Drosophila melanogaster: one gene and its partner. The protein of the gene in region 1 purifies or fractionates together with the protein of each later gene. This does not show direct contact. Each region holds a gene or a part of one and is shown in the gene's direction. Other genes may lie near its edges. The genes, in order: mei-P26 and gw.

Region 1 (5,039 bases):
CCGGCTATCGTCCGCTCGATGATGCCTTCGACGGTGGTCACCTCGCCCTTCTGCGACTGCACCGGAATCTCTAGCTCGATCTCCGGTATGCTGATGCTGGAGTTATCCGAGCGCACCACGCGCCGATTGAGATCAGCCACGGATTGCACTCGCAGTTCGATGCGAATGCCGGACTTTTGGATCTCCGATGCCGACTGCATCTCGTTGTTGATGTGGCCGCAGTGGTCGCACTTGAAGGACATGAGCACCACCTCGCGAAAAAAGGGTATCTTGGTGGGCAGCAGCCGAGTGACTCCCGTTTCGAAGCAGTTCATGCAGGCGGATTCGACCTCCACTATCTCGTCGGTCTGCTCCGCATTGATTTCCCGGAAAATGGGCTCCGGCCGAATGTTCCCCGCACTCTCCGGCGGATTGCTACTGTTGGGGTCGCTCACGGTGGACATGATTTGATTGCTATCCACACGAAAGTTCCTGTTTAAGTGTGCTTTTTTAAATGAAATGTATATGTTTGGGGCGAAACGTGCAAGTTTAATCGATAGACGCTGACGATAAGTGTCGATAGTCGTCGTGTGACCGGCTTGCATATGCTTAAAACTCCTTAAATACCCAGAAGTGTGCTCGGCGCGTTGATCTTAAACGCTCGAGAATTTACTCGTGTTCGATAGAAAATTCCCCGAAATAAAAAGGTGCACAAATAAATTTAAGAGCTTACCTGTAGCGGTACACGGTAAGGCCATAAAACAAAAACTGATTGGCCATCTGCATATTAATCTGGGAATACCACCTACCTGACACACGTTCTTCCTAAAATTACCTGCGCTTTCAGAAATAACTGGAGTCCTTTTGTAGAGCGACAATTCAAGGCAGTACAAAAAGAGCCAAGCTTAGAGTATCATTGAATTGTTGATATTCCTGTTACCATTTTAAGAGACTTTCAATTAAGATGGCCGGATCGTCGAGCATTAGTGCGCTGTTGGCCGAGCAAATGAATTTGGGCGAGAAGATTCAAAGCATTATTCGCAATTATAAAAAGGCTCCGGCTCAACGGAAATCTAAACCTGGATATTTTGAAGGGCGACTATCCAAATTGCAAAGCTTGTGGGATGCATTTTCCAAAGGGGAAAATACTATTAAAACTCGCAACGAAAAGACGCAAATGGAACATACATACTTTAAAAACAACTTCTTTGTCAAAATAAAGACTTTGGTAGTTGAATATACATCAGAATTCAATCGAAAACTGCACGCATCGGAAAATGATACTGAAAACGTGCACGCATCGGAATTGGATACTAAACACGTGCCCGCATCGCAGCAGAATTCTGAAGATCAATTCAATTCTATGCTTAGAGAGCATCGGATATTGATGGACAGATTGGATAATATTATAAACGAGTTGGAATGCGTGACAAGGAATGGGATTAATCCCATCATTTTACCCTATTTAACTGATATGCAAAATATGCATGCGGAAATGAGTCAAACTGACATTTAAATGTAATGTAACATGTAATAATAAAGCGTATTTTGTGTTATTATTTAAATATATATATATATAATTATATTATACTTATTAAAGATGTAAGCTTTGCGGAATGAAAACTTAAAATAAATATTTGGCGACCGATACGCGTTTATTCAATATAACTATCGATATCAGGGCATCGCTTTTCAAAAACTATCGATACGTGGCTGTGCTGAAATATATATCTATCATCCCTAGCTGCACTGCATACAAAAGTTCGACGGGAGCAGTAAAGTAATTATTTGTTTAATCCAATAATTATCGACTCCAATCAAATTGGCGGTCTTCTGGTTGTTTTTAATGTCCCAGAACGTGCTAAATTCGCTGAATCAGTGAATAACGGTAACTGTAGATATAACTGCCTGTGGTGTGTAGTGTTCTCTTGTGTTCCTGCGTGTAGGCGTTTGTGTGGGACGGGCAAATATAAAATCGTAACGTAACAAGCAAAAGAGAGCAGCAAAAAACAAAAAGAACCAACAAAAAAACGTGTGAAAACGAAAACTACATTTAAATATAAGGTGGTGACAGTTGCGAAAAAGCAGTTAGCAGTTTAAATTGGACAGTAAAAGCTGACAACGCCGGACAGACAGTGAAGTGTTCAGGCATTTCAAGGACCTTTTTCGCCTCCTGTCTGCTGTTCGGTTTGTGAGAGTGTGTGTGTATGCATGTGCAGGCGTGTGTGTTGAGTGCCTTTTGACCACGACCACCTGGGCGGTAGTCAAGTGGAAATTTTGCGTTCAAGGACAACGGCAGTGCCCCCCCTTGTCGATTGTCACCCCGCGACCCCGTCGAGAGTTGTCTTAGCCACCACCCGCGCCCCCCAACTAAAACTTTTAAATCGACGACAGTTCGTCCGGTCGGTCAAGAATAGTGTTTATTCCGAAATCGAAAAAGGGAATTCAGTTTTAATTTCACATGGTGTGTGTGTGTGTTTTTTTTTGTATTCTGTATGTGTGGGTGCCGTTTTTCGTATTCGTATTTCATTTTTTGCCGCGTTGAGTGAGCTTGCGCACACCAATACGAACGAAATTGAGAACTTTTCTTCGCATAACCGATTTTTCGCTCTCTCTCTCTCTCAATCGCTTATCGCTCCTCTTCTATCTCTTTCGCAGCCCAGCCAGCGCTGCACTCGAAAATAACCGTTTGCGAGTAGCAAGAGAGAGAGCGGCACACATTTAAAAGTGAAATAAATCAAAAAGTACGTGGAAATGGACAAGAAAATATCAGCTGCGGCGCAGAATTGACAAAGTCGATAGGGGGACCAACAAAATCATCCAGGTCCGATAAAGCAAAGCAAAATAAAACAGAACAGTGAAAAAAAGGGGCAAAGCAGCGGTACTAAATTCCGTTTACCACGTGTGTTCGCTTGTAGGCGCTTGTGTCTGTGTGTATGCAGCTGATTCGGCATGTGGGTGTTTGGTTGCGAGTGTTTGGAGGGGGCACAAAACTAAAGTAGATTTTAAACTACCGCTCACTTCCGCTGATTTAAACGTATTTATTTAGGCAATTGCCTTGCCCCAATTGAATTAGTTGTTCAAGGACTTTGTGCCCCAGCTTGTCCTTGTTAGGGCAGCTATTTTTTTGCGCAGCTAGCGGATAAATGGCTAGAAAGGTCATCACTATGAACGCGCCTGCGTGAACGGGTAGCAAAAGCAGGAAGCAGGAGTAAAGAAGAGCTTGATGTGTGTGTGTGTGTGTGTGTGTGTGGCGCATAGCTACACATAACGGAGAAAAACGTAACGTAAACTTAACGCAAAAGGGAACCGATACTACCACCCCCTTCCCCACTCTCTCCATTAGTGGCCTAACATAGACATTAATTGGATAACCTACGATCGGATAAACATTCAATGCACGAAATCTATGTTGCTAGTTCTTATCCTTTCCCATTAAACTCTCAAAACGGCATTATTCCATTCCATCCTGGTAGCTCTTGCCGGCTATATTAATTCAAATTCGATTTCATGGGAAAGCGTTATACAAATGCCAAGCGTTTTGAATTGGACTACGCCTAAGGTCCCGTCGCAGTCGAATTGGAAGAAGGCAACAATTCTTGTCAGATGATGACATAAAATTATAGATATAGATATAGATAGATATAGATATTTCACTAAATAACACAATTTTGGTAATCAATAAAAAGTTTTCAAACCTAATCATATTTTTATTATTTTTTTTACTTAACTGACTTAGGACTTCAAAATGAATAAGAAAATTATTACCTATTGTATATCAATAAGAATCGCATTTCCAATTCTTGCTGAGTTACGTTAATTTTGAAATTAGATTTATCTGAAAAATGGCCAATATACTTTGCTAACATCCGGAAAGTATGCAGCAGAGTGTGTGAGTGTGTGTGTGCTGTTGCAAAAGCCAGAGGCGTTTTAAAGGGGGTTGCACTGCGTATGGAAAGGGTAAAAAAGAAATGTTTCATTTGATTTAATGCCAAATTCCCTTTCTCCATATGTCAGTAAGGTTCATCTATATTTGATATATTTTGTTCTGCGTTACAGAATTTATATTTCTGTTTTAGTTTTATATTTATTAATTTGTACATTTTTGTAAATTTCTAGCCACCGATTAACGTGATTTTTGTATCCATTGTTCTTTTTTAAATACCAAAAGGAGCGGCGCTGTCGTCCAATTTGCATCGCCGTGTTCTTCGTCAGTGTTTGTTGTCGTCTCCTCGTTCGTCCTTAATTTTATTTCGTCCTTGTGCAACAAGAAGAAGCAAAAGAACAGCCACATCAAACAGGAGGAGGATCACTGCAATACACAGTTTCCAAATGCTTTAAAAATATTCGGCAATATCTAAATATCTAGAAAAGTAAGACAAGCAGCGAATCAGCAACAACAATCGAAAACACCAAACAAAAACCAAAAAACTAAGATAAGCCGAAAGCCGAAGGAGGCTCGCAAATTTGTTTACAAATTTGCAATACATTTTAAGTAAGCGGAGGAGAAGAAGGGGTGTTTGTTGCGCATCAGTGTGTGTGTGTGTGCGTGCGCGTGGATTGTATAGGTCCTTCGCTCATTTTTACCCCGACGAAACGAACTATTGTTGGCCTTTTCTTGCGGCAATAGAAGGGACCTCAATTGGAATGGCCCTCGTGGGAGAGCGGAGGGACATTAGGGAGCAGCAGAAGTAGCAGCAGCAGCAGCAGCAGCAGCAGGATTAGGATCAGGAATAGGATCAGGAATAGGATCAGCAGCAAATGCAAGCAAGCGCAAAGGACTAGAAAAGCAAGCAGCGACCAGAATTTAGGAGCCAGGAAATACGGAATTGCAATCAGGAAACAGGAACGGGAACGGGAAAAGCAGCCCAAAAACAATAAAACAAAAGGAATCCATTGAATCGACAAAAGACAAGAACTTGTTGTATCAGAGCAGCGCCAAAAGAAAGGTGAGTAGTAGTTATTCAAGAATAATATTCGGCTTTACTGGTATTCCTGATCAATCAAAGTTAACTTGTTTGTAGGACAATGACTACTTTGGAGGAGCCTGTCCAGGCGGC
Region 2 (5,004 bases), on another chromosome or scaffold:
ACCAAAAATTAGTAATGTAAATAAAGGAGAGGTGGGCTAATTTGATTCTAAGGTTATATATTTCTTTTTTATTGCATTTGTTTTCGGTTTGGACATCATATAGTGTCCAAATCCCGAAGTTCATTAACTAGTCTCGGAAACCTTTTTGTTCACCTGTTATGTTCTTTTTTAATTTTTAATAACCCCCTTACTTTACGAGTGAAGAGTATAAAAGAATTATAAATACTTTTTCAAGAATTCAGGTTAATATAATTATTCGATTTTATGATAGAATCTAACGTTCCGCTAACCATTTAATACAGCAAACCATATTTATTTTCAGATCAAAAATGACAACACACGATGAGGCTCAGTCATACTTCTCACGTCTTAATTCAATTTCCGAAAAAATTACCTGCGATCTCAATAAAGTTAAATCTACATACAACCAAGACGCTTGGCTTAAATTGACTTTAAACGAACAGGAAAAAATATTGAATAACCAATTAATAGATCCTGTTATATTTTCTAAGTACTGTCATAAGACTAAAGAAAACTATGCGGCACAGGATCCGTACGAAAATACTGAAGTTAGTAAAAATGATTACCGTAAATTTTGTTTCAGAGACATTGTATATTTATATAACGGCCAAGATTTACACACATATAATTATCAAAACGTTGGTTTAAAAATATTACGCGATGAAAACACCGGAGATTTTCAAGATGAACATTCGTTTCCATTTTCTTATCGAACCAAATCACAAATTAACATAGTATTAAAAGAATTTGATGATATCTGTCTTGTTGAAACTCCATTAGGCGTAAAAAAGGCCATTCATTTAAAATTGAAGACAAAAGATTCAACCAATAAAAAAATACCAATTCTCCACCTTAATTCTAATGATAAAACCGGCGTTAACACAACGGAAAGAAAGATTTCCATTCATGAAAACTTCTCAAAAACCCAAACTGTTTATATTGATGAATGTATTGAATCTAATGAGAAAATGCAACTGCTCGTTAAATGTGGATCGAAAAACAGTGTGTTAAACGACTTGTCTGATTATGAAAACGAATTTAAAGATGCACGTCAAGACGAAAATACAAAACTGTTATCCCCTGAACTAAAAATGCCTAAGGGTTTCGATTTTCTTAGCAATTGGTAAAACCTATTTAAATCTCATAGATAGTCGAAGGAGAGCCGATATTTTAGAACATAATTTCATTTGATTTCAAGGCAAAACACCAAAACATACACATTAATATTAATCGGTCGTAAGTCCAAACTTTATACATTACATTATTAAGGATTCTTTTTTAACATAGACTTAATAAAATAAGTTATGAATTTAATGGATTGCCCAAACCTGTTTCAATTCTCACTTCAATAAGGCATTCAAGCTTTAAAATTTATTAATGCATATGTTATCTCACTGTATTGTTTTAATCCCTTAAATTTCATTTGAATTGTTAGAAATGGTCGAGAGTTATATGAGTTGGAACTTGTTTGAAACAGCTCTGTTTTGAATTAATTTAAATTATATCAGCTAATTTATTTTAATCAATTAATCCTTCTGTTGTGTACCCTCTATCTGACCTCTTCGATGTGAACGGGTCACAGCACTTATTTTAGGCAGTTGTGTAAACTGGGTATTACCTAAGATTGATTAATATCGATTAGTTTAAGAAAATATCGGACATCTACCTAGAAGAGTCTGTCGTGATCCAGGCGAAGTGCGAGTGAGAGCATCGTATAGTTACTTTTTATTTAAATTGCGTGTGTTAAAATGAATTAGCACGAGTAGTGAATGTTTTTGTGTGCGTAATCTTTCGAAAACAAGCGCTTTGTCATTAAAACGAAAAGATTGCCAACAGCCCACCACGGATAGAATGTACGGAGTAATGCAGCTAAATTGAAGTAGAATAATTTTAATGTATGGTTGAAGACGTACTCAGTACGATTAAAAGCGAAACTTTCTGACATAACCTAAGTGTGCATAACCTAAATGGTCGCAAAAACCCAAGCGTTTAGTTTCGGACATACGCATGTGTGTATCAGTGCAGAATAAATTCTGTTCGCTTGTGTATCGTGCATTGGAAAAGTCTATATGTACATATGTTCCAGTCAAGAGTTGCCACGCTTTAAATCTTTTACATAATGACAAAGCAATAGGGAATTTAAATGTGTCGCATTTGCTTTGAGGTTTTCCACACCAACAGTTAAAATTTAGTAATAGTGTAATTAAAAATAAAGTAAGCATTTTGCATATTTGCATTAGTCTATACTCCACATACCTTTCCATTCCGTCTTTAAATTTTGACTAGGTGGCAATATTGCAAGCAGGAATATCTGTATGGGTTTATTTAATACACTAGTAACTGCCGTCCCCATCGTCGAACGTGCGCAGAAATTTATATTCAATTACATCGAATTATAATTATTGTTGAGTCTAATCAGTTTTCGCATTCAAGATTGTTATTAATCCCAGTTTATTTTGTGAAATATGAAAAACTATAATTGATTGTCGAATGTGTGTATGTTTTACAACACATACACACTTTGTGAACTCGTCAAAGTGGCTTGACATGCATACACACAAAAATGCACATATATTTACATATATAGAGAAAATCAACTTCTCGTTCAGTAAAGGCAAAAATTGTTGCAAATATTCGGTGAACTATTAGCGTATACACAAGTGTTCAATTTTACTATAAACGCATATTCTGGCAATAGATATTAATTTCTAATTTCTGTTTGGTAGGTTTTAGTTAGATCTCCATTTTGTGACGTTCTCAGCTTTTCGCTTGTATTTCTACACATAGGGTACAAGACACGCGAATATACTAAGTATTGTACAATGACTTCTCTACATATGCACTAGAGTACTGAAAATGTATTCATACAAATGTATATACATGTATATATCTATCGCATTAGTCTTTTTGCCAATACTTGCATATATACAGGTTGTGTAAATACATTTTAAATTCTAAGTTTATTTGAGCATAATTGCAAGTGCGAAATTAGGAAAGGGAGACATAAAATAGGGTGCTTCCGTCAATGTCTGCCTGCCCAGAGTTGACAAATTCATTTTACTTGTGTACATATGCATATGTATATTTATATACCATTACAGAGTTGTGAATTTAATTGTTTTATTTTTTGACATGCATTCGTTTTTCACACAGGAATTTGTCGTTAATGTGGGTGGGGATTCTGCCGGTTGGGCAGCAGACCTGGTAGGTCAGCGATCGCGATGCATATTTCATTTTTAAAATTCTTTATGTACATACTAAGTATACATGTTTAACTCCTGTCAAATGACTCCCACTCTTATATACCCATATGTATGTCCTCAGACTTTTTGAATCGATTATAAAGCTTAAATTTTTATGATTTCTCCTTCAGAATTTTAACTGATGTTATGCAGTTAAAAATCTGTAAAGAAGATATTGATTAAGCCTACGAAAAGCTGATCAGAATTAAAAAATTTTTTAAGAACAACGAACAATAGAAAAACTAAAAACAAACGTGCACAACGTAGGGGTCACTAGAATCTGCATGCTTATTCTCAACTGTCTAGCTTTTATGTCGAAAACGCTTCCGCTATGTAACATACTTTAGAACAAATCTGGTATACCATATACCATTTTACTCTATTAATAATGTGTATAAAGCATAAACGTATCACGGTGATTAAGTTTATTTATCCTGTGTATATACAAGAAAATAAAAAAAGAACTTAGCAATTTGATTTAGAATGAATATTTTGTAATAAAAATAATAAATGTTTTCTATATTTCTACAGAACACGGAAAGAACAAGGATTCAGATTAAGTCATTCCTTTTCGATTAAATTAAATAACTTTTAAAAATTGCCATAAATGCTTATGATAATGAAGTTAAAGATCAAGTGGATGTTGGAATAGTAAGGAATGCTACTTTTGAAGCTGACAATCAGTTAGAACACTTGAGCACTATGCGTGAAGCCCTTTTTTCCCAAGATGGCTGGGGCTGTCAGCATGTTAACCAGGATACTAATTGGGAAGTTCCCAGTTCGCCAGAACCAGCCAATAAGGATGCACCCGGTCCACCAATGTGGAAGCCAAGCATTAACAATGGTACTGATCTTTGGGAGTCCAATTTGAGAAACGGAGGTCAGCCGGCCGCACAGCAAGTTCCAAAGCCGTCGTGGGGTCATACACCATCCTCTAACTTAGGTGGAACATGGGGTGAGGACGACGATGGCGCCGATAGTAGTAGTGTGTGGACTGGAGGAGCTGTTAGCAACGCGGGATCCGGAGCTGCAGTGGGAGTAAACCAAGCCGGAGTTAATGTCGGTCCAGGCGGTGTTGTTTCGTCTGGCGGACCTCAGTGGGGACAAGGTGTCGTTGGCGTCGGACTTGGATCAACTGGTAGGCCTAATATCTATTAGAATTAATGAAGTTAAGCGCAAACGATCAGATAAAGGCTCTAGCTTTTCCCTCAAAATGTGACTAACAATACATGATAAAAACATAAAGTGTAGTAATTGAAGTTGGAGCCTTATCTGGGGAATTACCTATTCTAAGTTCTACAGAAACTTTTATTTCATTAACCCGAAATACTTTTATATTTCTGCTGTTATTTAAGGAGGTAACGGGTCAAGCAATATAACTGGATCGTCTGGAGTCGCAACAGGTAGTAGCGGAAACTCCAGCAACGCTGGTAACGGTTGGGGAGACCCTCGTGAAATACGCCCTTTGGGAGTTGGTGGCTCCATGGATATTCGAAATGTTGAACATCGCGGCGGTAACGGTTCTGGAGCAACTTCGAGCGATCCACGAGACATTCGCATGATCGATCCGCGTGACCCTATTCGAGGAGATCCCCGTGGAATATCTGGTCGTCTTAATGGGACCTCTGAAATGTGGGGTCATCATCCACAAATGTCCCATAACCAGTTGCAAGGTATCAACAAAATGGTTGGTCAAAGTGTAGCAACTGCCAGCACCAGTGTCGGAACATCTGGCTCGGGC

What was found.
Region 2: the proteins of mei-P26 (region 1) and gw purify together in Drosophila melanogaster (affinity purification with western blotting, with the first as the bait; one study listed by BioGRID). This does not show direct contact.

Annotation. Positions count from the first base shown.
Region 1 is NC_004354.4:9,161,532-9,166,570, forward strand, and holds the start of mei-P26 (meiotic P26), read left to right. Parts: upstream 1-1,723; 5' UTR 1,724-1,867; intron 1,868-2,631; exon of another isoform or gene 2,632-2,803; intron 2,804-4,150; 5' UTR 4,151-4,928; intron 4,929-4,988; exon of another isoform or gene 4,989-5,003; 5' UTR 5,004-5,007; coding exon 5,008-5,039. Other genes in the region: Zpr1, read right to left, coding at 1-443; CG44532 (uncharacterized protein), read left to right, coding at 944-1,495.
Region 2 is NC_004353.4:657,299-662,302, reverse strand, and holds the start of gw (gawky), read left to right. Parts: upstream 1-1,694; 5' UTR 1,695-1,874; intron 1,875-2,319; exon of another isoform or gene 2,320-2,743; intron 2,744-3,794; 5' UTR 3,795-3,965; coding exon 3,966-4,401; intron 4,402-4,618; coding exon 4,619-5,004. Other genes in the region: CG46466 (uncharacterized protein), read left to right, coding at 330-1,148. UniProt on the Drosophila melanogaster protein: Required for gene silencing mediated by micro-RNAs (miRNAs). Silences both polyadenylated and deadenylated mRNAs. Required for miRNA-mediated translational repression and mRNA decay. Not required for miRNA target recognition.